Linked DNA regions of Pelodiscus sinensis. The protein of the gene in region 2 interacts with the protein of the main gene of each other region in a pairwise test. Links are inferred from orthologs where the notes say so. Each region holds a gene or a part of one and is shown on either strand. Other genes may lie near its edges. The genes, in order: heat shock transcription factor, Y-linked-like; TBX6; C25H1orf94.

Evidence for each region.
Region 1: the proteins of TBX6 (region 2) and heat shock transcription factor, Y-linked-like interact in binary tests that used the Homo sapiens proteins (3 or more experiments, as listed by UniProt). The link is inferred for Pelodiscus sinensis from reciprocal best matches to the Homo sapiens genes TBX6 and HSFY1.
Region 3: the proteins of TBX6 (region 2) and C25H1orf94 interact in binary tests that used the Homo sapiens proteins (3 or more experiments, as listed by UniProt). The link is inferred for Pelodiscus sinensis from reciprocal best matches to the Homo sapiens genes TBX6 and C1orf94.

The regions. Positions count from the first base shown.
Region 1 is NC_134723.1:41,600,608-41,608,145, forward strand, and holds the start of heat shock transcription factor, Y-linked-like, read left to right. Parts: upstream 1-4,529; 5' UTR 4,530-5,935; coding exon 5,936-6,496; intron 6,497-7,430; coding exon 7,431-7,538. Other genes in the region: TMEM185A (transmembrane protein 185A), read left to right, coding at 3,031-3,275.
Region 2 is NW_027465967.1:62,678-70,535, forward strand, and holds the start of TBX6 (T-box transcription factor TBX6), read right to left. Parts: upstream 3,060-7,858; 5' UTR 2,667-3,059; coding exon 2,537-2,666; intron 654-2,536; coding exon 395-653; intron 106-394; coding exon 1-105. UniProt on the Homo sapiens protein: T-box transcription factor that plays an essential role in the determination of the fate of axial stem cells: neural vs mesodermal. Acts in part by down-regulating, a specific enhancer (N1) of SOX2, to inhibit neural development.
Region 3 is NC_134735.1:5,911,809-5,919,157, forward strand, and holds the start of C25H1orf94 (uncharacterized protein C1orf94 homolog), read left to right. Parts: upstream 1-4,349; 5' UTR 4,350-4,401; coding exon 4,402-4,661; intron 4,662-7,349.

The DNA.
Region 1 (7,538 bases), on a different chromosome or scaffold from region 2:
TGGGTCACAACTCCCTCCCAGACCCTGCACCCTCTCTTACACCCTTTCCCTAGGCCAGAAGCCTCTGGCACCCATACCCCCTCCCTGACTCTGCATCCCCTTCCCCTGCCCTAAGTCATCACCCAAACCCTCTGCACCTCATCCCCCAGGTCACAACTCCCTTCAGACCCTGCACCACCTCTTAGGGTCCCTCCCTCAGTCCAGAATCCTCTCCTGCACCCATACTCCCTCCTGGACTCTGCACCCCAAGCCTCTGCCCAAGATCACAGTCCCTTCCTTCACTCAAACTCCCCCTCAGACTCCACACCCCCTCCTGCACTCAGTCTCCTACCCCAACCTCCCTTCTGCACCTAACCTCTGTCCCAGACTCCAGACCGCCTTGGTAGAAATGCAGCCCTTGACCACTCGATAAAATCTTGGAGTGGCCCCCCCATTAAAAATTATTGCCCACCTCTGAACTAGATAGGTGGAGATTAACACAGTGGGCATAGTCAGAAGAAGCTTTGCAGCTTATGACAGTTTTTCCTTATGAGTCACAGGCTGTGTATGTATCCCTTGTTGTGAGTGTCTTTCTGTAATCCATCTAAGTTTGATTTTGACCCCTTAGCTTCTTGGAATCACAATGTCAAAGTCCAACAGAATTAGTTCAGTCCTTAATCCTTCCACAGTAAATTGTGTTTCATATGGTTTATTTTTTATTGTGTAGAGGGTAGGGTTTTTCCCCCCTCCTGTTATGTATGCTGAAGATCCTATAGCATGTATTGTAAGCGGATGGGCTTGTCCTGATGTCCTTAGCCAATATTTTTTCTCCTTCAACCAGAACACAGAATAGCAATGTGCAGTTAGTTGTGACTTCCACTCCAAGGGTAGCTTTATTTAACGATGCAATGTGTGTAAATATTATAAAAACCGTTTGGGATCCTTTTATAGTTGAAAGAGTTTATATTATTTATTATTGTAAACTGAATTGTCTTGTTTTATGTCTCTGTAATCACAACATACACTGACTTTTTTTAAACTTGTTCTTAGATCATAAGTAATTTTTTCATATTCAGCTGCTATATGAGTTCTTGTATTGATTTGGAGGAGTTGGTATATAAATAATGGTGGTGTGAAAATATTTAATGGATTTAGCCCTATAATAAGGAATATCTTAGCTTCATATTCTTTACCAATATGTATTAAAAAGGGCCTTGTGAAGACTTGATCATGAAAGTATTGACTAATTTCTTTTCAGCTAGTATATTCTCAGTGTCTGTAGCTACTTGTTTCATCAAAGCATCTCCAGCATAGGTTTCTTCCCCAGACCTAAGATTTTTGTCTGATATGTTTACTTTAACATCAGACTTCTAACTGTGTTTCTGCTAGTTACAGTAAAACTCCATTGGTCCGGCATCTGACGGTCCGGCACTCCTGATGATCCGGCACCATCAGGAACCCGGAAGTGCTCCGCAGCCGGACCATTGGAGCTGCTCTGCCCCCAGCTTCCCCTATTCAGCCGCTGCTAAAACTGACCAGCGGCTGAATCGGGGAAGCCGGAGGCAGAGCAGCTGGGGCGCTGCCGGGTAGGTCCCCTAGCGCTGCCCCTGGGGGCTGCGGGACCAACCCGGCAGCACCCCAGGCGTCCTGATTCAGCCGCTGCTGAAATTGACCAGCAGCTGATTCCAGGAAGCCTGAGGTAGAGCTGCTCTGCCTCAGGCTTCCTGGAGTCAGCTCTTGGTCAATTTCAGCAGCGTCTGACTTGGGGACGCCTGGGGCAGAGCAGCTGGGGTGCTGCTGGGTTGGTCCCGCAGCGCCGCTCCTCGGCGCTACTGGATCAACCCAGCAGCACTCCAGCTGCTCTGCCCCAGGCATCCCCAAGTCATCTGCTGCTGAAACTGACCAGCGGGGGCTTCCTTGAGTCAGCTGCTGATCAGTATCAGCAACGTCTGACTTGGGGGGACGCCTGAGGCAGAGCAGCTGGGGTGCTACCGGGTTGATCCAGTAGCGCCGAGGAGCGGCGCTGCGGGACCAACCCAGCAGCACCCCAGCTGCTCTGCCCCAGGCGTCCCCAAGAGCAGTTGGGGTGCTGCCTGGTTGGTCTCGCTGCGCCAAGGGTCGGCGTTACCCCGACCAACCCGGCAGCACTCCAGCTGCTCTGCCCCAGGCGTCTCCGATTCAGCCGCTGCTGGTCAGTTTCAGCAGTGGCTGAATCAGGGACGCCTGGGGCAGAGCCGGACTATCGGAAGGGGGGGCTATGAGGGGTCTGGAGTGGTACCCCCCCCTCACCCCAGACCCCTCATAGCCCTCCCTTCCGATAGTCCGGCATATCTAATAATCCAGCACCCCCTGGGTCCCAAAGGTGCCGGATTATCGGAAGTTTACTGTATATAACTTTTTAAACCTGTGTGGGGTTTTTTGTTTGTTTTTTAAGTCTAGAGCCTAAATTGCCTCCTCAACTTTGTGCTTGGAAGAGTAGAGTGGTGGAACATTACAGGGCACAAGTCAGTCTTCACCTGTAGCTGTGACCACAGTGCATTTGCAGTGTAGCTGATGACAACATTAGCTTAGTGTTTAAGGCTATATGCTGTAGATCTAGTAGTGTGTTGTATAACTTTTATTTTATGAGTATGAGTTAGGTAACATAACCCCGGTCATTCCAAATGGACCCCATGTGCTTAACAAACAAATGTACTTAAATTCATTTCAGTTGGAACTTATCTAGGTGAAATATGGCAACCGGTCACCAATCTTAATATCTGTTTGACAAGGATATCATGGAATCTTTAATTGCAAGTAGTCAGGACGTTGGCTTTGTTTTATGTGAAAGATTTGCCTGTAGCAGGTAAAATACTTCTGTATGCCATGCTGTGGGATTAATTAATGGAAGGGTACTATCTACTGAGTCACTAGCACCATGTGTTAGTGTCTAACTATTTATAAACAATATTTATATAAAAGATTTTAGTATAAAAATGAAATGAGTACTTGGTTTTAAAGTGTAATTTCCTTCTTGATTAAAACTGAAACTATTAATTTGGATTTGTCCAGGGTGGTTTGGAATTCGCAAAGATTTCTGTCAATTTCTACTTGAAATTTTCCCATTCTTGAGAGAATATGGAAATATTTCCTATGATCTTCATCACGAAGATAATGAAGAAATGGAAGAAACACCTGTTCCAGAACCTCCCAAAATTGCACCAATGTTCCGAAAAAAGACTGGAGTGGTCATTACACAAAGTCCTGGAAAGTACGTTATTCCACCTCCCAAGCTAAGCATTGATGTGCCAGATTAAAACGAATTTAGAAGATGGACAACTGACAACAAAACTGGAACTAGGAATAAACAACCAAATGTATTTCATCTCAAAAAATGTTCTAATTTCTTTTAAGGATAGGTATTTGTCAGTTAGTGGCTTATAATGTATTACATTGGAGATTTTTAAATGATTTCTTTTGGAGCTTTCCATATTTACTTAATCTCATGGTAGTGAATCCAAATGGGAACACTAGTTAATCTTTTTTTTTTAAATATACCTATAAAGTCATTACCAGAGAAATTAATCCAGTATATCAATTGTAGTGCATGGGGCATTGAAAACTTTTAATATTCTGTAACATGACCTCTGGTAACTCAAATTCAGATTTTTCTACACCTCATTTAAGCATTTTAAGTATTGTGTTCCTAGTGTTATGATCTTTTGTCCCTGAAGATAGGTGGTTGTCTAATCGGTGAACCTTCCTAGTGGATTGGTTATGTGCCTGGCTGTATAGTATTTATACGAACATTGTAGCAATGTAATATATTCTGTTCAAATTCTAGTTCTGTACAGTATAAATATTATGTAAAGGTATTTTTTTAAAAACTTGTATGAAATGCATAGACTATTACAGAGGATGTCTTTCAAGTCTTAAGTATATATTTGGCCTCTCTTGCTGTATGTTGTTTAGATATATGCGTTGGCATGTCTTTACCTGTCATTTCCTATTCAGACATGAACACTATCTTTAACTACAGAGGCACAGGAGCATTGCACTTCTCTGGCAAGACTTGAAGGCTTTTGTTTTATATAGAATGTATAACAGCTTACATGATTTTGACTCAATGTAAATTATTGTGTAAATAATCACAACCGTTGCACTGACTTGTGGGTGGGGGGGTAGATGTTAACTGTGTTGCGTCTTCAAGTTCTGTAGTCATATTTTACCATTAAGCAACACATTATTAGTTATTAGCCCCTTCAGCTGTTTAATAAACTATTTTTTCCTATATTATGTGGAAAATCTATACTTTGTTTTAATTGCTCAGATTTTGTAGATTGTCATCAATTTTACAGCTGACATAAATACCAAGACTGTACTGTTGCATAAACTACCCTATCTTTTGTGAAACACAGGTCAGTCCAAATTATTAAACCCTTTACAAGGAGCTGTGCCATTTTAAATTAGTAAATTCTCTAGAAAAGTTTCTGTTTACTTTGACATTGTCATGAATTTTGGGGGGTGACGGGTGGGTTTTTTTTTCTTTCCCAAACCTCTACTGAGGATGCTTGTAGGTTAGTGAGATTAATCTGAAATTCATGTTACAGTAGTTTGTTCTCTTTGGCAAAGAGATGCTTGTGTTTGCTCTTACAACTCAGTGATAAGTATACACTCTGATATCCATCAGTACTGTTTTTCAAAAAATGGTTGATACAGGAATGACAGGAATGTGGAAACTCATCTCTTCACTATAACCACTAGCCACAGTTAGTTATGCCAGAAGTAGGGAATATATTTGTTCTGACAACTGTAATACTAGTGAGGCAAGTGCTCCCTACTGCATTGCCTTTATTCTTCCATCTACCCGTTTCTCCCCCCATCCATCCCCAGTCTCCCCGGTAATGGGCATTCAGTGGTGGAAGATAGTTCATTATAGGCCACACTGTTCCTCATCTACTGCAGCAAAATTGGGGTTTAGAGGTAGCCTCCTAATAATGCATTTATATCCCACCATCATTGTCCACTTGGACTTGAGAACATGCTCTGCTCGACCTCCTTGAGAGGCCCAGGGAGTAAAAGGCCTTCCATTTGTCCACTGGGCTACCCTACTGGAAAAGAGCAGCCGAAAAAACGCGTAGGTTGAATTCCCACATTCTCACTGGAAGGGAGAACCAATAGGAAGTCAACATCTAATAGACAATCTCCTTTCTCCCCTTCTTTCTCTCTCTTATCCCTGTGACAAGTGCTGGCAGGTGACTTGGTTTGCTCTGTAATGTTACTATCACATAGAAGATGGGCAGTGATGATCAACCTGTGGTGACTTTTTTTCAGATTCTTTCCTTCTGCCTTTTACCAGTACCTCCTTCCCCAGTCTTTGGAGCAGAAAGAGGGTTCTGCAAGAGACCAGAGGGAACAGTCTCCTTTGCAGCTGCTAAATGGAATTGTAAATTCTTATTTTTATATACAGTGTATGTAATTTAAATACTTGTACTCCTATTTTTTTTTTCATACAGCCAGGGTCTGATGGCAAGAACACAGTGTGGGGAATTCTTCACTAGTGAAAGAGGCTCAGTGGAAAGACTAGGCAAATAAATTTCTTCCTTTATTCCCAACAACCGCAGCAGTACAAGCTTCCCTCAGCTCTGTTGTGGAATGACTGCTGTGGGGAGAGGGAGGAATGGATGGTACGGTGCTCTATGTCCAGTTAGTATATGCCTTATTTACATCATGAGACAAAGCTTTTATAGATTAGATCTAATCTCTCGTAAATGATATTTAAATGCTTTTCACTTTAGTGACTTGTCTGGCCATTATTACCTCAATTTGCTAGGAAACCAGTTGTTTTATGATGTCACAGCCACACACCACAAGTATCATTATGATGTTCTAGAACTCTCTACTGAAGTTTCACTTTAAGCTAGCATCATTTTAATATACCACTGTCTAGGAGCATGAAGCTCAACTAATAGCATAAATGGCTACAACTGAAAAAGGTCAAAGCGATAAAGGATTGGAGATGGACCTTCCTATAGCAGAAACATTACATGTTTCAGCTCAGGATGAAATGGTTGATTCTGCTACCTCAATTTCTTCTGCTATTCCATTGTGTGATAAAACAGCAGCTGGTGACTCTGCCTTGAGGTCTATAATAGAAGAAAATGCTTTTCAAGCTCTGAGTGATGGACCATGGGTAAAAAGACCACGTCTTACTCTCTGTGAGGATAATTCCACTGAAGACAATGATTTTTTATCCCTCACCTTTCCAAAGAAACTATGGAAAATTGTTGAAAGTGATCAATTTAAGTCACTTTGGTGGGATGATGATGGAAATTGTGTAGTGATTGATGAAGAGCTCTTTAAAAAGGAGGTGCTAGAAAGGAGAGGCCCTCTGCGAATTTTTGAAACTGATTGCATGAAAAGTTTCATCCGTCAGCTTAATCTCTATGGCTTTAGCAAAATGCGGCAAGATTTTCAAAGGTCTGCCTCACTAGCTGAATTTCTAGCAGAAGAAAAAGCAGCATCTGCTTTTAGCAAGGTAAAATGCCAGTATAGTTTCTCAAAGCTTAAAAGATGCCTATTCTGAAATACATTTAATGAGGGTTTTTTGCATGCACAAAAGTTTTATGCTCATGAAGAGAATCTAGGAATGAGGGTTTTGAAGGCTATTCTGACATCCATAGTTCTCAAAGTATTCTCATGAATGAGTAAAAAAATGTGAATACTAGTTTTTTGCCCAGAAGTGACTATTTCAGTGTGGGTTTTTCCCTGCTCGCCTGAGCCAGTGAAACAGAAATCCTCTCAGCCCCCTTCTCTTTCTCTCTTCTGGTTACTGGTGTACTTCTGGTACTAGGTTTGCATTGCTTTCTTTTCCCACTGGCATTTGCTGAATGCTAGGAAGATGGATATGAGCCATGTGTTACTATTTGAACATTTATGGCCTTTTATCTAAATTACTAAAAGTCAAGGGGACTTGTACTTCTGGACCTAAATCTTTTACATGCTTTAGAAAGTCTCCTACTGTCGGATAATATCCATCCTTTTTGTTTAAACTTTAGTTTCGATACTAGACCCACTTAAGAGATATAATCCATTAAAATATTACCTGTCTGTATTTCTAACACCTTTTAAATTTCAAATTTACCTTTCACCATTTCTGCCATGTTTGCTTTTTGCACTTAATTTGGCTTCTACAGTGAAAGTAAGCTATTCAGGTCCATTTCCTGAGGTTAAACACAATGCTGCAGGAGAATGTTTAAATTCAAAGAATTTTCACTGATTTAAAATGTAATGAAAATACCTCTGTTTCATCATATCTTTTTTGCAGCTTAAAATTGGGGCCAAAATTGTTTGCCAGTGTCCGTTCAATATTAATGTTTGCTTTATGTAGGCAAAAATCTTAGCCAGAATGTGCACTTGACTTTTTTTTATTCTCATAGAGGTGATTAAATCTTTTCCCTTGCTTTATTTAGTTACAGTTCTACCATAACCCGAATTTTAAGAGAGGCTATCCCCACCTCCTTGTAAGATGTAAAAGAAGAGTTGGCATCAAAAATACACCACCAGTTGCTTTCTCATTA
Region 2 (7,858 bases):
CACTTGTAGCGCGAAGCCCCGGCCGGAACCATGTCCACCAGCAGCAGGTACTTCGCCTCGGGGTCCAGCCCCGTCACCGACACCTTCAGCTGGGGGAACATCCGCCTGTGGGGGGAGACAGGGTTGAGGGGCTCGGGTTCAATGGGGACAAGGCCCCCCCCCACACACAAATGTCCCTTTTCCATCCCTGTGTGGAATAAATTGTTCCCTGTGCACCACGGTGCGATTAGATGTGCACCACCAGCAGAAACACGCACCTGGCTGGGGCCTCTGCTCATCAACCAGGCACGCAAGGGAACCCGGCCACAGACCCTCCCTCCCACTTTAGACCCCCCCCATAGACTCACCACAGCCCCTCCCCCCAGGCCCTCCCCACACCACAGCCCACTCTTACCGCCCTGATTTAGTGATGATCATCTCAGTGCCCACGGCAGAGAAACGCTTCCACAGCTCCCGGTTCTCCAGGCTCAGCCGCACACTGGAGGACAGGCGGGGAGGCTCGGCCGGGGGCAGCTGCTGCCCACCTGCATAGGGCAGGGGTGGGGCAGGAAGGGCCAGCGGGGCGCCCGAAGGAGGTGGAGGCAGAAGCCGTCCAACCCGGTCCAATGTAGGGCAGAAGGGCTCCAACTTGGGTGCTGGCACACCATCCAGATCTAGGTGAGCAGAAACCAATCAGAGATGGAGTCTGCAGGACGGGAGTGGGGGGCACCAGTGGGGCTGGGCTGGCAGGGGCTGCGGGGCCAGGAGTGAGGGGCACCAGCAGGGCTGGGGGAGCAGGGTGTGGCCGGTACGGGCTGCGGGGCAGGAGTGGGGGGCACCGGCAGGTCAGGGGCTGTGGGGCAGGAGTGAGAGGCACTAGCAGGCCGGGAGGACGCAGGGACTGCGGAGGGGGGAGTGAGGGGCACCGGCAGGGCTGTGGGAGCAGGGTGAGGCCAGTAGGGGCTGCGGGGGGAGTGAGGGGCACCGGCAGGCTGGGGGGTGGCCCAGAGGCTGCGGGGGGGAGTGAGGGGCACCGGCAGGCTGGGAGTGGCCCAGGGGCTGCGGGGGGGAGTGAGGGGCACCGGCAGGCCGGGGGTGGCCTGGGGCTGCGGGGGGGAGTGAGGGGCACCGGCAGGCCGGGGGTGGCCCAGGGGCTGCGGGGGGAGTGAGGGGCACGGCAGGCGCGGGGGGGCCCAGGGCTGCGGGGGGGAGTGAGGGGCACCGGCAGGCCGGGGGTGGCCCAGGGGCTGCGGGGGGGAGTGAGGGGCACCGGCAGGCTGGGAGTGGCCCAGGGGCTGCGGGGGGGAGTGAGGGGCACCGGCAGCCTGGGGGTGGCCCCAGGGGCTGCGGGGGGGAGTGAGGGGCACCGGCAGGCTGGGAGTGGCCCAGGGGCTGCGGGGGGGAGTGAGGGGCACCGGCAGCCTGGGGGTGGCCCAGGGGCTGCGGGGGGGAGTGAGGGGCACCGGCAGGCTGGGGTGGCCCAGGGGTGGCGGGGGGGAGTGAGGGGCACCGGCAGGCTGGGGGTGGCCCAGGGGCTGCGGGGGGGAGTGAGGGGCACCGGCAGGCTAGGGGGGGCCCAGGGGCTGCGGGGGGAGTGAGGGGCACCGGCAGGCTGGGGGTGGCCCAGGGGCTGCGGGGGGGAGTGAGGGGCACCGGCAGGCTGGGGGGGGCCCAGGGGCTGCGGGGGGGAGTGAGGGGCACCGGCAGGCTGGGGGGGGGGGCCCAAGGGCTGCGGGGGGGAGTGAGGGGCACCGGCAGGCTGGGGGGGGGCCCAGGGGCTGCGGGGGGGAGTGAGGGGCACCGGCAGGCTGGGGGGGGCCCAGGGGCTGCGGGGGGGAGTGAGGAGCACTGGCAGGCTGGGGGGGCCCAGGGGCTGCGGGGGGGAGTGAGGGGCACCGGCAGGCTGGGGGGGGCCCAGGGGCTGCGGGGGGGAGTGAGGGGCACAGGCAGGCTGGGGGGGGCCCAGGGGCTGCGGGGGGGAGTGAGGGGCACCGGCAGGCTGGGGGGGGCCCAGGGGCTGCGGGGGGGAGTGAGGGGCACCGGCAGGCTGGGGGGGGCCCAGGGGCTGCGGGGGGGAGTGAGGGGCACTGGCAGGCTGGGGGGGGGCCCAGGGGCTGCGGGGGGAGTGAGGGGCACCGGCAGGCTGGGGGGGGCCCAGGGGCTGCGGGGGGGAGTGAGGGGCACTGGCAGGCTGGGGGTGGCCCAGGGGCTGCGGGGGGAGTGAGGGGCACCGGCAGGCCGGGAGGGCAGGGTGAGGGGTTTGGGTCACACTCTGAGGCTCCAGGAATCTCACATCCTGCTGCCACTCCCCCCACCAGTTGGTCGCTATCTGGTGCTAAGAGCTCCGCTGGTGGGGGGCGGCAGGGCCTCTCCAGATCCCCCCAGCCCCAGTGAGCTCCTGCTTGTCCATCGTCCCCTTCCTCCTCTGCCCCCAGCTCCCTTGCCACCTCTGCCCCAATGCTATGGGCCCCCTTTCCACCCCCCACACCACTGGGGCCCCTTCCTCCCCCCCCCATGGATGCCCCCGCCCCAGAGCCAGCCGCCCTGGCCCGCTCACCTGGGTAGCGGAACCCTTCGTACTGGGCCCCGGGCCCCGGCGGGAAGCCAGCCGGCAGCCCCCCGTGGGGCGCGGGGCGCAGCGGGTAGGAGCCCCCCAGCTGGGGGAACAGCTCAGACGCGGGGTACATGCTGGGCAGCAGGGCTTCTCTCCTGGCTCGGGGAGGGGAGTGGAGCCTGGTGGTTAGAGCTGGGGCCGGACACCCGGACGCCTGGCTTCTCCTGGCTGCTCTGCTCTGGCTCGGAGGTGTCTGGCCCCCTATTTATGGGCTGCCCCGGCACTTTGAAGCGAGTCCCCAAATGGCTCCTGGACAGCAGGAGGGGCAGGGCGGGCGGGAGGGGCTCTGCTGGGGGCGCGGGGGGAGGAGGGAACGGCCTAGCAAGAAGGCAAAGCGCCCTGCCCCCCCAGCCTGCTGACGCCCCCACTCCCACCCCGAACCGCTGCCCCCTAACCTGCCAATGCCCCCTGCTCTCACCCCCAGCCTGCCAACACCCCTCACTCCCGCCCTGCAGCCCCTGCCCCCCACCCCCACCCCCTTCCCCCCCAGCCTGCCAACACCCCTCACTCCCGCCCTGCAGCCCCTGCCCCCCACCCCCTTCCCCCCCAGCCTGCCAACACCCCTCACTCCCGCCCTGCAGCCCCTGCCCCCTTGCCCCCCAGCCTGCCAACACCCCTCACTCCCACCCTGCAGCCCCTGCCCCCCACCCCCTTCCCCTTCAGCCTGCCAACACCCCTCACTCCCGCCCTGCAGCCCCTGCCCCCCACCCCCACCCCCTTCCCCCCCAGCCTGCCAACACCCCTCACTCCCGCCCTGCAGCCCCTGCCCCCCCACCCCCTTCCCCCCCAGCCTGCCAACACCCCTCACTCCCGCCCTGCAGCCCCTGCCCCAGCCTGCCGACATCTCCTGTTCCCACCCCCAGCTTGCTGGTGCCCCCCCACAGCCGTTGCACCTCCCAGCCTTACTCTGCCTCTCACTTCCACCCCACAGCTCCTGCCCCCAAGGCCTTCTGGAGCCCCGCAGCCCCCGCCCCGCCAGTGCTCCCCATTTCTGACCCACAGGCCCTGCCAGCCCAGCCCTGGGCTCCCCTGTTTTAAGTAACCTAATTGCCCAATTAACACCTTGGCTCCAAAGTGGCTTGATTGATCCTGGCCTGGTTTACAAGGAGGGAGGAATCATTTGTCAGCCAGCTGTTTTCACAGCTGTGCCAGACAGCTGCAAGGGTGGGGCGGGGGCTGGGAGCCAGGACCCCTGGGTTCTCTCAGGCTCTTGCTCTGTGTGTGGGGGGGGGGGGTCTGGTGGGTTAGAGCAGCCCTGGGCCTTGGGTCTGGCTCCTGCCTCTGGAGTGGACGTGGGGTTAGTGACATGGACGCCAGGCCAGGCCAGGAGCACCCCACGGCCAGGGCCCTGCCCCCTCGCACCGCGCCCCCTGCTGGGCCAGGCCAGGAGCACCCCACGGCCAGGGCCCTGCCCCCTCGCACCGCGCCCCCTGCTGGGCCAGGCCAGGAGCACCCCACGGCCAGGGCCCTGCCCCCTCCCCGCCGCGCCCCCTGCTGGGCCAGGCCAGGAGCACCCCACGGCCAGGGCCCTGCCCCCCTCGCACCGCGCCCCCCTGCTGGGCCAGGCCAGGAGCACCCCACGGCCAGGGCCCTGCCCCCTCCCCGCCGCGCCCCCTGCTGGGCCGGGCCAGGAGCACCCCACGGCCAGGGCCCTGCCCCCTCGCACCACGCCCCCTGCTGGGCCAGGCCAGGAGCACCCCACGGCCAGGGCCCTGCCCCCCTCGCACCGCGCCCCCTGCTGGGCCAGGCCAGGAGCACCCCACGGCCAGGGCCCTGCCCCCTCCCCGCCGCACCCCCTGCTGGGCCAGGCCAGGAGCACCCCACGGCCAGGGCCCTGCCCCCTCGCACCGCGCCCCCTGCTGGGCCAGGCCAGGAGCACCCCACGGCCAGGGCCCTGCCCCCTCGCACCGCGCCCCCTGCTGGGCCAGGCCAGGAGCACCCCACGGCCAGGGCCCTGCCCCCTCGCACCGCGCCCCCTGCTGGGCCAGGCCAGGAGCACCCCACGGCCAGGGCCCTGCCCCCTCCCCGCCGCGCCCCCTGCTGGGCCAGGCCAGGAGCACCCCACGGCCAGGGCCCTGCCCCCTCCCCGCCGCACCCCCTGCTGGGCCAGGCCAGGAGCACCCCACGGCCAGGGCCCTGCCCCCTCGCACCGCGCCCCCTGCTGGGCCAGGCCAGGAGCACCCCATGGCCAGGGCCCTGCCCCCTCGCACCGCGCCCCCTGCTGGGCCAGGCCAGGAGCACCCCACGGCCAGGGCCCTGCCCCCTCCCCGCCGCGCCCCCTGCTGGGCCAGGCCAGGAGCACCCCACGGCCAGGGCCCTGCCCCCTCCCCGCCGCACCCCCTGCTGGGCCAGCTCAGGAGCACCCCACGGCCAGGGCCCTGCCCCCTCCCCGCCGCGCCCCCTGCTGGGCCAGGCCAGGAGCACCCCATGGCCAGGGCCCTGCCCCCTCCCCGCCGCGCCCCCTGCTGGGCCAGGCCAGGAGCACCCCACGGCCAGGGCCCTGTCCCCTCGCACCGCGCCCCCTGCTGGGCCAGGCCAGGAGCACCCCACGGCCAGGGTCCTGCCCCCATCGCACCGCGCCCCTGCTGGGCCAGGCCAGGAGCACCCCACGGCCAGGGCCCTGTCCCCTCCCCACCGCGCCCCCTGCTGGGCCAGCTCAGGAGCACCCCACGGCCAGGGCCCTGCCCCCTCGCACCGCGCCCCCTGCTGGGCCAGCTCAGGAGCACCCCATGGCCAGAGCCCTGCCCCCTCCCCGCCGCGCCCCCTGCTGGGCCAGGCCAGGAGCACCCCACGGCCAGGGCCCTGTCCCCTCGCACCGCGCCCCCTGCTGGGCCAGGCCAGGAGCACCCCACGGCCAGGGTCCTGCCCCCATCGCACCGCGCCCCTGCTGGGCCAGGCCAGGAGCACCCCACGGCCAGGGCCCTGTCCCCTCCCCACCGCGCCCCCTGCTGGGCCAGCTCAGGAGCACCCCACGGCCAGGGCCCTGCCCCCCTCGCACCGCGCCCCCTGCTGGGCCAGGCCAGGAGCACCCCACGGCCAGGGCCCTGCCCCCTCGCACCGCGCCCCCTGCTGGGCCAGGCCAGGAGCACCCCACGGCCAGGGCCCTGCCCCCTCGCACCGCGCCCCCTGCTGGGCCAGGCCAGGAGCACCCCACGGCCAGGGCCCTGCCCCCTCGCACCGCGCCCCCTGCTGGGCCAGGCCAGGAGCACCCCACGGCCAGGGCCCTGCCCCCTCCCCGCCGCACCCCCTGCTGGGCCAGGCCAGGAGCACCCCACGGCCAGGGCCCTGCCCCCTCCCCGCCGCGCCCCCTGCTGGGCCGGGCCAGGAGCACCCCACGGCCAGGGCCCTGCCCCCTCGCACCACGCCCCCTGCTGGGCCACCAGGCCAGACCAGGAACTCTCTCACGGCCAGGGCTCTGCCTCCAACATTCCTGTGGTGGAAGAACACCTCAGCAGTCCAGCACCCTGGCATTTAATTTAAAAAAGGGGAATTACGCAAAAATGAGGAGGTTAGTTAAACAGAAATTAAAAGGCACAGTGACTGGAGCCAAATCCCTGAAAGCTGCATGGAAACTTTTTAAAGACACCATAATAGAGGCCCAACTTAAATGTCTACCCCAAATTTAAAAACATAGCAAGAGACCTAAAAAAGAGTCACCGTGGCTTAACCGCCATGTAAAAGAAGCAGTGAGGGACAAAACGGTATCTTTTAAGAAGTGGAAGTCCAATCCTAGTGAGATAAATAGAAAGGAACAGAAACACTGTCAAATCAAGTGTAAAAATTTAATCAGAAAAGCAAAAAAAGATTTTGAGGAACAGCCAAAAACTCAAAAAGAAATAACAAAATGTTTTTTAAGTACATTAGAAGCAGGAAGCCTGCTAAAAAGCCTGTGGGTCCCCTAGATGATCGAGCTATAAAAGGAGCAATCAAGGACGATAAAGCCATTGCGGAGAAACTAAATGATTTCTTTGCTTCAGTCTTCACGGCTGAGGACGTTGGGGAGATTCCCATATCTGCACCGTCCTTTGTGGGTGATGAATCTGAGGAACTGTCCCGGATTGAAGTGTCATTAGAGGAGGTTTTGGAACAAATAGAAAAACTTAATGTTAACAAATCTCCGGGACCGGATGGCATTCATCCAAGGGTTCTAAAAGAACTCAAATGGGAAATTGCTGAGCTATTATCTGTGGTTTGTAACCTGTCCTTTAAATCGGCTTCTGTACCTAATGACTAGAAGGTAGCCAATGTGACACCAATATTTAAAAAGGGCTCTAGAGGTGATCCTGGCAATTACAGACCGGTAAGTCTAACTTCAGTACCGGGCAAATTAGTTGAAACAATAGTAAAGAATAAAATTGTGAGGCATGTAGAAGAACATAATTTGTTGGACAAAAGTCAACATGGTTTCTGTAAAGGGAAATCCTGTCTTACTAATCTATTAGAGTTCTTTGAAGGGGTTAACAAACCTGCGGACAACGGGGATCCAGTAGATATAGTGTACTTTAGTGTACTTTTCAGAAAGCCTTTGACAAGGTCCCTCACCAAAGGCTCTTGTGTAAATTCCATGGCCATGGGATAAGAGGGAAGGTCCTTTCTTGGATTGAGAACTGGTTAAAAGACAGGAAACAAAGGGTAGGAATAAAAGGTACATTTTCAGATTGGAGAGGGGTAACTAGTGGTGTCCCCCAAGGGTCAGTCCTGGGACCAATCCTGTTCAACTTATTCATAAATGATCTGGAGAAAGGGGTAAGCAGTGAGGTAGTAAAGTTTGCAGATGATACCAAACTGTTCAGGATAGTCAAGACAGAAGCAGACTGTGAGGGACTCCAAGAAGATCTCACCAAACTGAGTGATTGGGCAACAAAATGGCAAATGAAATTTCATGTGGATAAGTGTAAAGTAATGCACATCGGGAAAAATAACCCCAACTATAGGTACAGTCTGATGGGGGCTAATTTGGCTACGACAAATCAGGAAAGAGATCTTGGAGTTATCGTGGACAGTTCTCTGAAAACTTCCACACAGTGTGCAGCGGCGGTCAAAAAGGCAAATAGGATGCTAGGAATTATTAGGAAAGGGATAGAAAATAAGACCCAGAATCTCTTACTGCCCCTGTATAAAACTATGGTACACCCACATCTTGAATACTGTGTACAGATGTGGTCTCCTCACCTCAAAAAAGATATTTTGGCCTTGGAAAGGGTTCAGAAAAGGGCAACTAAAATGATTAGGGGTTTGGAACGGGTCCCATATGAGGAGAGGTTA
Region 3 (7,349 bases), on a different chromosome or scaffold from region 2:
CAACACGCAGGCATCCAGTGGGAGCCCATTTGATTCCAGCGTGGTCCAATCCTGCTCCCCCCCACACACATCCCCATCAATTGCTTTCCAAAAAAAGCACCTGGCAGCACGCTGAGTTGAAAGGTCTCCCTCTCTTTTACCAGGTGTGCCCAGCTCTGGGGACAGGCCTGCCTAGGACAGCCAAGTTGGCAGAAACTTGCAGGGTTCTTTGAAAGTGCATGTGTGTCTGTTCTAGTGCAGGCTGCTGTTAACCTCCACTAGCCACTGATCAACTTGCCTGATTACCTCCACACTAAGCTGGACAGGGGATTTTTGCCTTTCTAAGCAGCCAACAGCAGCCAGGAATGTTTGATCTACACTGCCACCCACAGTCAAAGCTCAGGCTCAGAACTGGCCAGATTCTGACACCTACGGATTAAACCTCTCTCGTCCGGCACCCTGGGGACCTGACAACTGCTGAACCAGAGAATTTGCCCAACTGGAGGGGGGAGGGGGGAGGGGGGTCAATAGTATCTAGCAGCTTTACCAACACTTCCCCTGCTGCCTGGGCTCTTAGAAGACTGTTAGGGATAAATTGGAGCTAAATCACAGCACAGAACACCAAGAGCCAGGACTGGTGGCTGTAAACAAACTTTATGGCAGGAAACTTGACCATACCCATGATAAGCAGGGATATAAAATCCTGATTAATCAGTTAACTGCTTAAATGTTGGGTTAACCTAACGTTTAACCCGTTAACTGACTGAAGCGGGATCTGAGCTGGAGCAGTGCCCAGCCCACAGGATTCCCAACCCCCAATCCCACCCTGGGGCTGACTGCTGCCAGTCCTCAGCCCCTTCCCCGCCACTGGCCCCCAGTTCTCAGCTCCCATCAGAACAGCCCCTACCTTTGGGGCACCCGGGCTCCCTGTAGACAGAGGCTGCTCTGGACGAGAGCAGCCTCTGTTCATGGTGGGCTGCTCCAGCCCGCATTCGTTACCAGTTAATCGGAACCAGTTAGTGCCACCAATTTAAGGTGATGCTGACCGGTTCACTGGTTAAACTTTCACATCCCTAATGACAAGTGCCGGCTAACTAAAGTCATGCCGGACCATGGATGTTGCCAGACCAGAGAGTGCCGGACTAGAGAGGTTCAGCCTGTATTATATCCTATCTATCATTTCCCCGACCAGAGCCAAAGCAATATAAATCACTGCAAGCCTTCCACCCCCAAAGAACACAATCAAACATAATATTTCTGAATGTCTGGGAGCCAAGGGTCATAGAAACATAGAACCATAGAACTGGAAGAGACCTCAGAAGGTCATCAAGTCCAGCCCCCTACTCTAGGCAGGACCAACTCCAAGTAAATCAACCAGGCCAGGGCTTTGTCAAGCCAAGACTTAAACACCTCTAGGGATGGAGACTCCACTACTTCCCTAGGTAACCCATTCCAGTGCTTCACCACCCTCCTAGGGAAATAGTTTTTCCTAATATCCAACCTGGATCTCTTCCACCACAACTTGAGACCATTGCTCCTTGTTCTGCCATCTGTCACTTGGCATGATTTACACCTATTAGGTCTTGTCTTCACATGCAGTGATGAAGCTGAAACGCTGTAGCCCATTAATGAAGATGCTACTATACCAGCAGAAGAGCTTCTGCCAGCATGGTAGTTAATCCACCTCCCCGAGCTCTGGTCTACACTAGGACCTTAGTCCAAAATCCCCAGACCCGTCCCCCATTCAAATAAGTAAGCAATGCTTCCACACTACCAAGGCTGTTATTCTGGAATACGGGGCCATGGAATTTGAACTCTGTACTCCTGCTTTTCATGAGGAATAATGCTATTCCCAAACTTGTACGTCCGAAATAACATTAGTGTAGACACTTCAGTGCCGCTAATTTGAACTTACTTGCCTCTGGGAGGCCTCCCACAGCTCCCCAGAGTACTTCCTGGGCTCTGAGTCCGAGGTAGTACGTCCATATTCATGGAGCCTGCCTCGGACTAATTTTGATGCTTTCCTGTAGTGAGGATACGCAAGGTCAACGTTGTTTAATCGGCAGTTCTTAAGTCAAATTTAGTAATTTCGAAAGAATTTCCTAGTGTGGACATGGCCTGAGAGGTGGTAGCTATGTCGATGGGAGACATGACCCTATCTACACTGGGTGTTAGAGGGTATAACTACATCGCTTAGTGGTATGGCTTTTTCATACCCCTGAGCAATGTAGTTATACCAATATAAGTCCATAGCATAGAACTGGCCTTAGTCCAGGTGTGGGCAATAAGATGGCAGCAGTTCATCAGGGTTAGCCACTGGCAGGCTGCTGCTGCTATATTTACCTGTGCCACCATAGATATGGGTGCTTGCAGCTCATCTATGGGATGCTGCAGGAAGTAGCACCATCTGGGACACCACTTCCTGCAGCTCCCATTGGCCAGGAATGGCGATCCGCGGCCAATAGGAACTGCAAGCACCCATACCTGCAGAGATGCAGGTAAATACAGTAGCGGCAGCCCACCAGGGGCTAACCCTGGCAAACTGGATCCGGCTCACGTGCTGGTATTTGCCTGCTGCTGGCTTAGTTAGTTCTCACAGTGATTTCCTGGTAGTAAGAAGCATGAACTCCATTTTACAGATTGGGAAACAGAGAGACAGGAAGGAGAAAGAACTTGCCCGGGGCACAAAGGGGATTAGTGCCAAATCTGAGAACATCACATAGGAATTCTGACATTAAGTCTCCCTTTAACTACTAAATGACATTCCATACATAGTCAGAGGTGGTTAGGAGTCTTAATTCATCTGGGCTGGTGAATCTTAAGAGTGTTTTTCCCAAACAAAAAGCAGCACAATCAACAAGTCTCCCTAGGGATATGAACAGACTTAGGATGAATAAAATAAATCCCAACATCTACTTTGTTGACCAACCACAGCTGCTGTGGGTGAAAAGAGCAGCAATTAGATGTCCATGCAGTATTAGCCAAGAGGCTTGTACATAGAATAATCTCTCTGATTATACAGACTACTGTCACCGTGACTTTTTAGATGCATGATAGACAAGTCCACTTTTTACTCTAAGCTAACGGGAGATGCACAGAGCTAAGATTTCAGAGAAAGGTGCAACAGCTGCAGTAACAAAACAAAAAAATCTATGCACAAGTGTTGCCCCTGCAGATGGGCAAAGGCTCTTGTACATGTAAAAATTTCACTTTTACCTGCCCGTGTTCTTTTGTTTTGCACAGACACATGGTGCACATGGAACCATAGCAGCCAAATGAATTTCTGCAGGTATAACCAGTGCATCTGAAGTCTGGGCTGGCTGCCTTCTTCTCATTCACATTCCACAGCCCTCCCCAACAGAAATGTGGTTTAACTGTCGCTGATAAGCCTGTCCTCAGGTTCAACATAGTTTCATAATTCTCTCACCTCCTGGCCTTAAATATCAGCCAGAACAGGACTTGGGAGCTTCCGCTGAAAAAGCTCATGGCCCTCTTCTGCAGAAGCAATACGATTCTTCATGAGCTGTGTCACTATTAAGAATCCGTTCTTCTGTCAGGATCCAGGTGCTCCAAACTGCAGTACAGAAATAACTGTACTGGGTGGCATTCCCAAGGCGGGGCTGGCAAAAGACGGAGGTGTACGTGTTGTACCAGAGCATGCTACCTAGTCCAGTATCCTGCATCAGCAGCCGATGTCCAATGCTTCAGAGGGACCATTAAGAACAAAATAGTGTCCTGAACAAAATCCTCAATCTAGACCCCCCTCCAAACTTTGGCAAGTTCTGAAAGTTGGTTCCTTGAGCCCATCTGCAGAACAAATGGAGACTTAGCTAGCTATGCTCATGCTTCTTAGTTTAGAGACACAGAAGTAAACCAGACAAGACAGCCAGAGCCCCTGGCTCTCAGACCCACACCAGAGTAAATCCTGCGGTCTCTGCTTCAGTTTATTTCTGTGAGAAGGATCAGGAGGGGACCTGATATGAGATAAGAGAAAGGACTCGGAGCAGAGGAGAACTCACCTCCTTTTTCAGTGGAGACAACGTGGGTGTAACCCTCTCATTGTCACAGGATACATTAAATACAAAGAACAGAGGAAGGAAAGAGGAGGGTGGAGTTAATACGTGGACCTGAGAATATATGGAGTTGGGGCAGGGTGGCGACCCCATGGACACCGGTCCTAGAGGCTGCCCTCTGCCTTACTTGGAGGATCTCACACATGGCTCCCTCTTCCCCATCTTCCTTTCAGTGCTGCTGGAATCCCTACCACTGTTTCCGGTTGTTGTCCTTCGTACCAGTTGCCAGGACCCAGGGATTCTATGGTTACCAAGTTACCATGGCTTGTTGCTTTTCATTCCATTCTGTACCCACAACGCCCCTTTCAAAAAGTTGTCTTTTGGTGCCTGGGTGGGAAAAGACTGAAAGATGCTCACAGGCGGGAGTGAGCTCCCGGGTCCGACAATCAGCTCCAAAAGCCCCTTTCCTTTAGGACCTTTCCCCAGGCACATCTGGATCCACCACAACACCCCTCAGGACAGCCTGGACAAAGCCTGCCACGAGATCTGGAAACGGGTACAAGGTCTGCCTGAAGAGCTCCAGTCAACGTCACCAGTCCTGCAGCCTCCCTGTCACCCAGTCTTGCCATCAGACCTCCTCAGAGGAGAGGGCAGCCGCTACCTGAAAGAGTGAGTGTTCTCCAACTATGTCAGAAAGAAGATCACTGATCAACTCCATGTGGAAACATTCACTTTCCAACACCCTTTCTGCCCTACAGTAGCTTTGGGACTCTATGTACAACCAGAGTAGGAAATCTCTCAAACTAGTTGAGATGAAACACTGTGTTTATTTTCACAGCATCAAGCCAGAGGGCAAAATTATTTCCTTTCCCTCCACACATTCATTTTCCTATGCAAAACGCCCCGTGATGCCTCGCCACATCTGTAATTCCCAAGCACAGTAAGCAGCTGCCGCATTCAGTTTCCCCACAGCAGTTTTTTTTAAATCAAAATATTTACAGTAAGAAGCAAAAGATGCTTTCAAAAAGCAAAGCAGAAAATTAAAATGTTATACTATAAACAGCTGATCTTTACAAAGGAGAGCTCAATTTGGCAGAGAAGGAAGGGAGGGGAGGAAGCACAGTTTTCAAATTTAAGAGGGACGTATTTATAGTAGTCTCCTGAAGCGGGACTGGGGGTGAGGGAGTCAAATTTGTAAACCCAGCAATTAATTAACAAAGGTTGGCAACTGTCCTAGTCTGAAAGTAAAAATGCAATAACACCATTCACAGTTTCACAGACAGGGCCCAGCCTGCTGAGATACAGTAAATAAGTAACGTTAGAAGCTCAAAGTGCTTTATAAAAGGTGAATTAGTATAATTTCCCCTTGAAAGCGAGACTGAAGGAAAGGAAATTAACAAAGGCCACACAGCCCAGGAATAGAACCCAGGCATCCAGGACTCAAACCCAGTGTCCCATCCTCACTAAGGCCATGTCTACAGTAGGCAACTATTTTGAAATTAATTAATTTGATTTAACTCTCAATTTAACAAAATTGAACTAGCATGGCCACACTATGGAAAAGCCTCAAAATTAGCGCAAGGCAGGTTTCATTAATGTGGACGTGCTACCTTGGACTTAGAGCCCCAAGAAGCAATGGGGAGTAATTAGTTTGAATTACTCTGCGGAGTAGTTATTTCGAAATACCAACACTGATGCGTCCACACTACCATTATTTTGAAAAAACTATTTTGGAATTAGCATTACTCCTGATGAAAAGCAGGAGTCCAGATTTTGAATTCTGCAGCCCGTTATTCCGAAATAACGAGCTTGGTAGTGTGGATGCTCTGCTTATAAATTTGACTTTGGAGGGGTTATTTTGAAATAAAGTCCTAGTGTAGACCAGGGCTAAATGTACTTAAATCTTGAAGGAAGACTCTTGAGGCTCGTTTATCCTCTTGTGACTGCGTAAACCGGGAGTAACTCCACCAAAGTAACTCCTGGTGCATAGCTGGAGTAACTGAAAGGAGAATGCAGGCCCAAGTGTCTTTATGAACCAGATGTTCATCACATCTGTTCATGCACTCATGAGAGGGGCTCAAATGTTATGGGGAGAAGGGAAGCACCACAGCCAGCGTGGAACAGCATCAAACTACTACTAACAATCTGAACTTTAATTCCTCCCCTATGTTAGGGTACGTCTAGACTACAGGCTTTGTCGACAGATACTATCGACAAAGCCTCTTTCGACAAAGAGTGTCTGGACTACAGCCAGCTCTGTCGACAAAGCAAGCCGCTTTTTCAACAGAGAGTCCCGACGCTCTCTTTTGAAAAAGCACAGCGTGGATGCAATAGCGCCTTTTGTCCACAGAACCCTGTCAACAAAAGGCGTTACTCCTTGTAGAATGAGGTTTACTGCCGTCAGCAAAACTGCTGCGTCTGTCGACTTACTGTCAACAGAACTCGGCGGTAGTGTAGACGCAGGTATAGTTTTGTCGACAAAAGTCCACCTTTGTCGAAAAAACCCTGTAGTCTAGACACACCCTTAGTGACGCAGACCCGTAAAGCTCCATGGAGTGGGGTGGGGTTTTTTTGGTTTTGTTAGCATTGAATTTAGTGGGTTCTTCAAGGGCAGCCAACCTAGCATAATTCCTTGCCACTGGGCCATGTAACTGCCCTGAAACTATCATAATTGGGGAGATCATCCTCTTCTCTCGCCCCTTTGTCTTGTTCGGTGAAACTGTCCACAAGAGCACCAGAGCTGTGATGGGGACGCCTGAACCCACAGAAACTGGACTGAGACCCATCAAACTCATTTCCCATGCAATGAGAGAGGCCGTGGGGTCCAGTGGACAGGGCACACTAAGCTTAGGACTCAGGAGAGCTGGGTTCTACTGACACTTCTACCACTGAGCTGAGGGGTGGGCTGTGGGCAAAAGTCTTCTCCCATACCCTCCAGGTGTTGGTTTTGTCTGCTGAGGGTAGGAGCTGTCTCTTGCCCTGTATCATACGGGGTCTTGATCTTGGTGCATGTACAAGTAATAACTGAACTGCCTTCAGGTAGGTTTTGGCTCCTGTTGACCAAATGCCAAGACCTGCTTTGCTCTCCTCACATGAATAAACCTCTTTGGAGTCACCACTGCTTCTCAACTGGGAGGCTGAGCAGGTGCAAACCCAGACCACAGTTTGGACACAGATCCTGGAGGTATCAGTGTCCTTATACAACTCTCAGGCAATCCAGTCGCTGGGAAGAGATTTTGTAAACCCCTGACCATCTATGCTGACAGCCCGCAAAGGCACACGAATCACCTGATTCGTCATCTGCAACAACACACGGGGCCAAGACGACTCGCAGTGACCTTGCTTGATTTCGCAAGC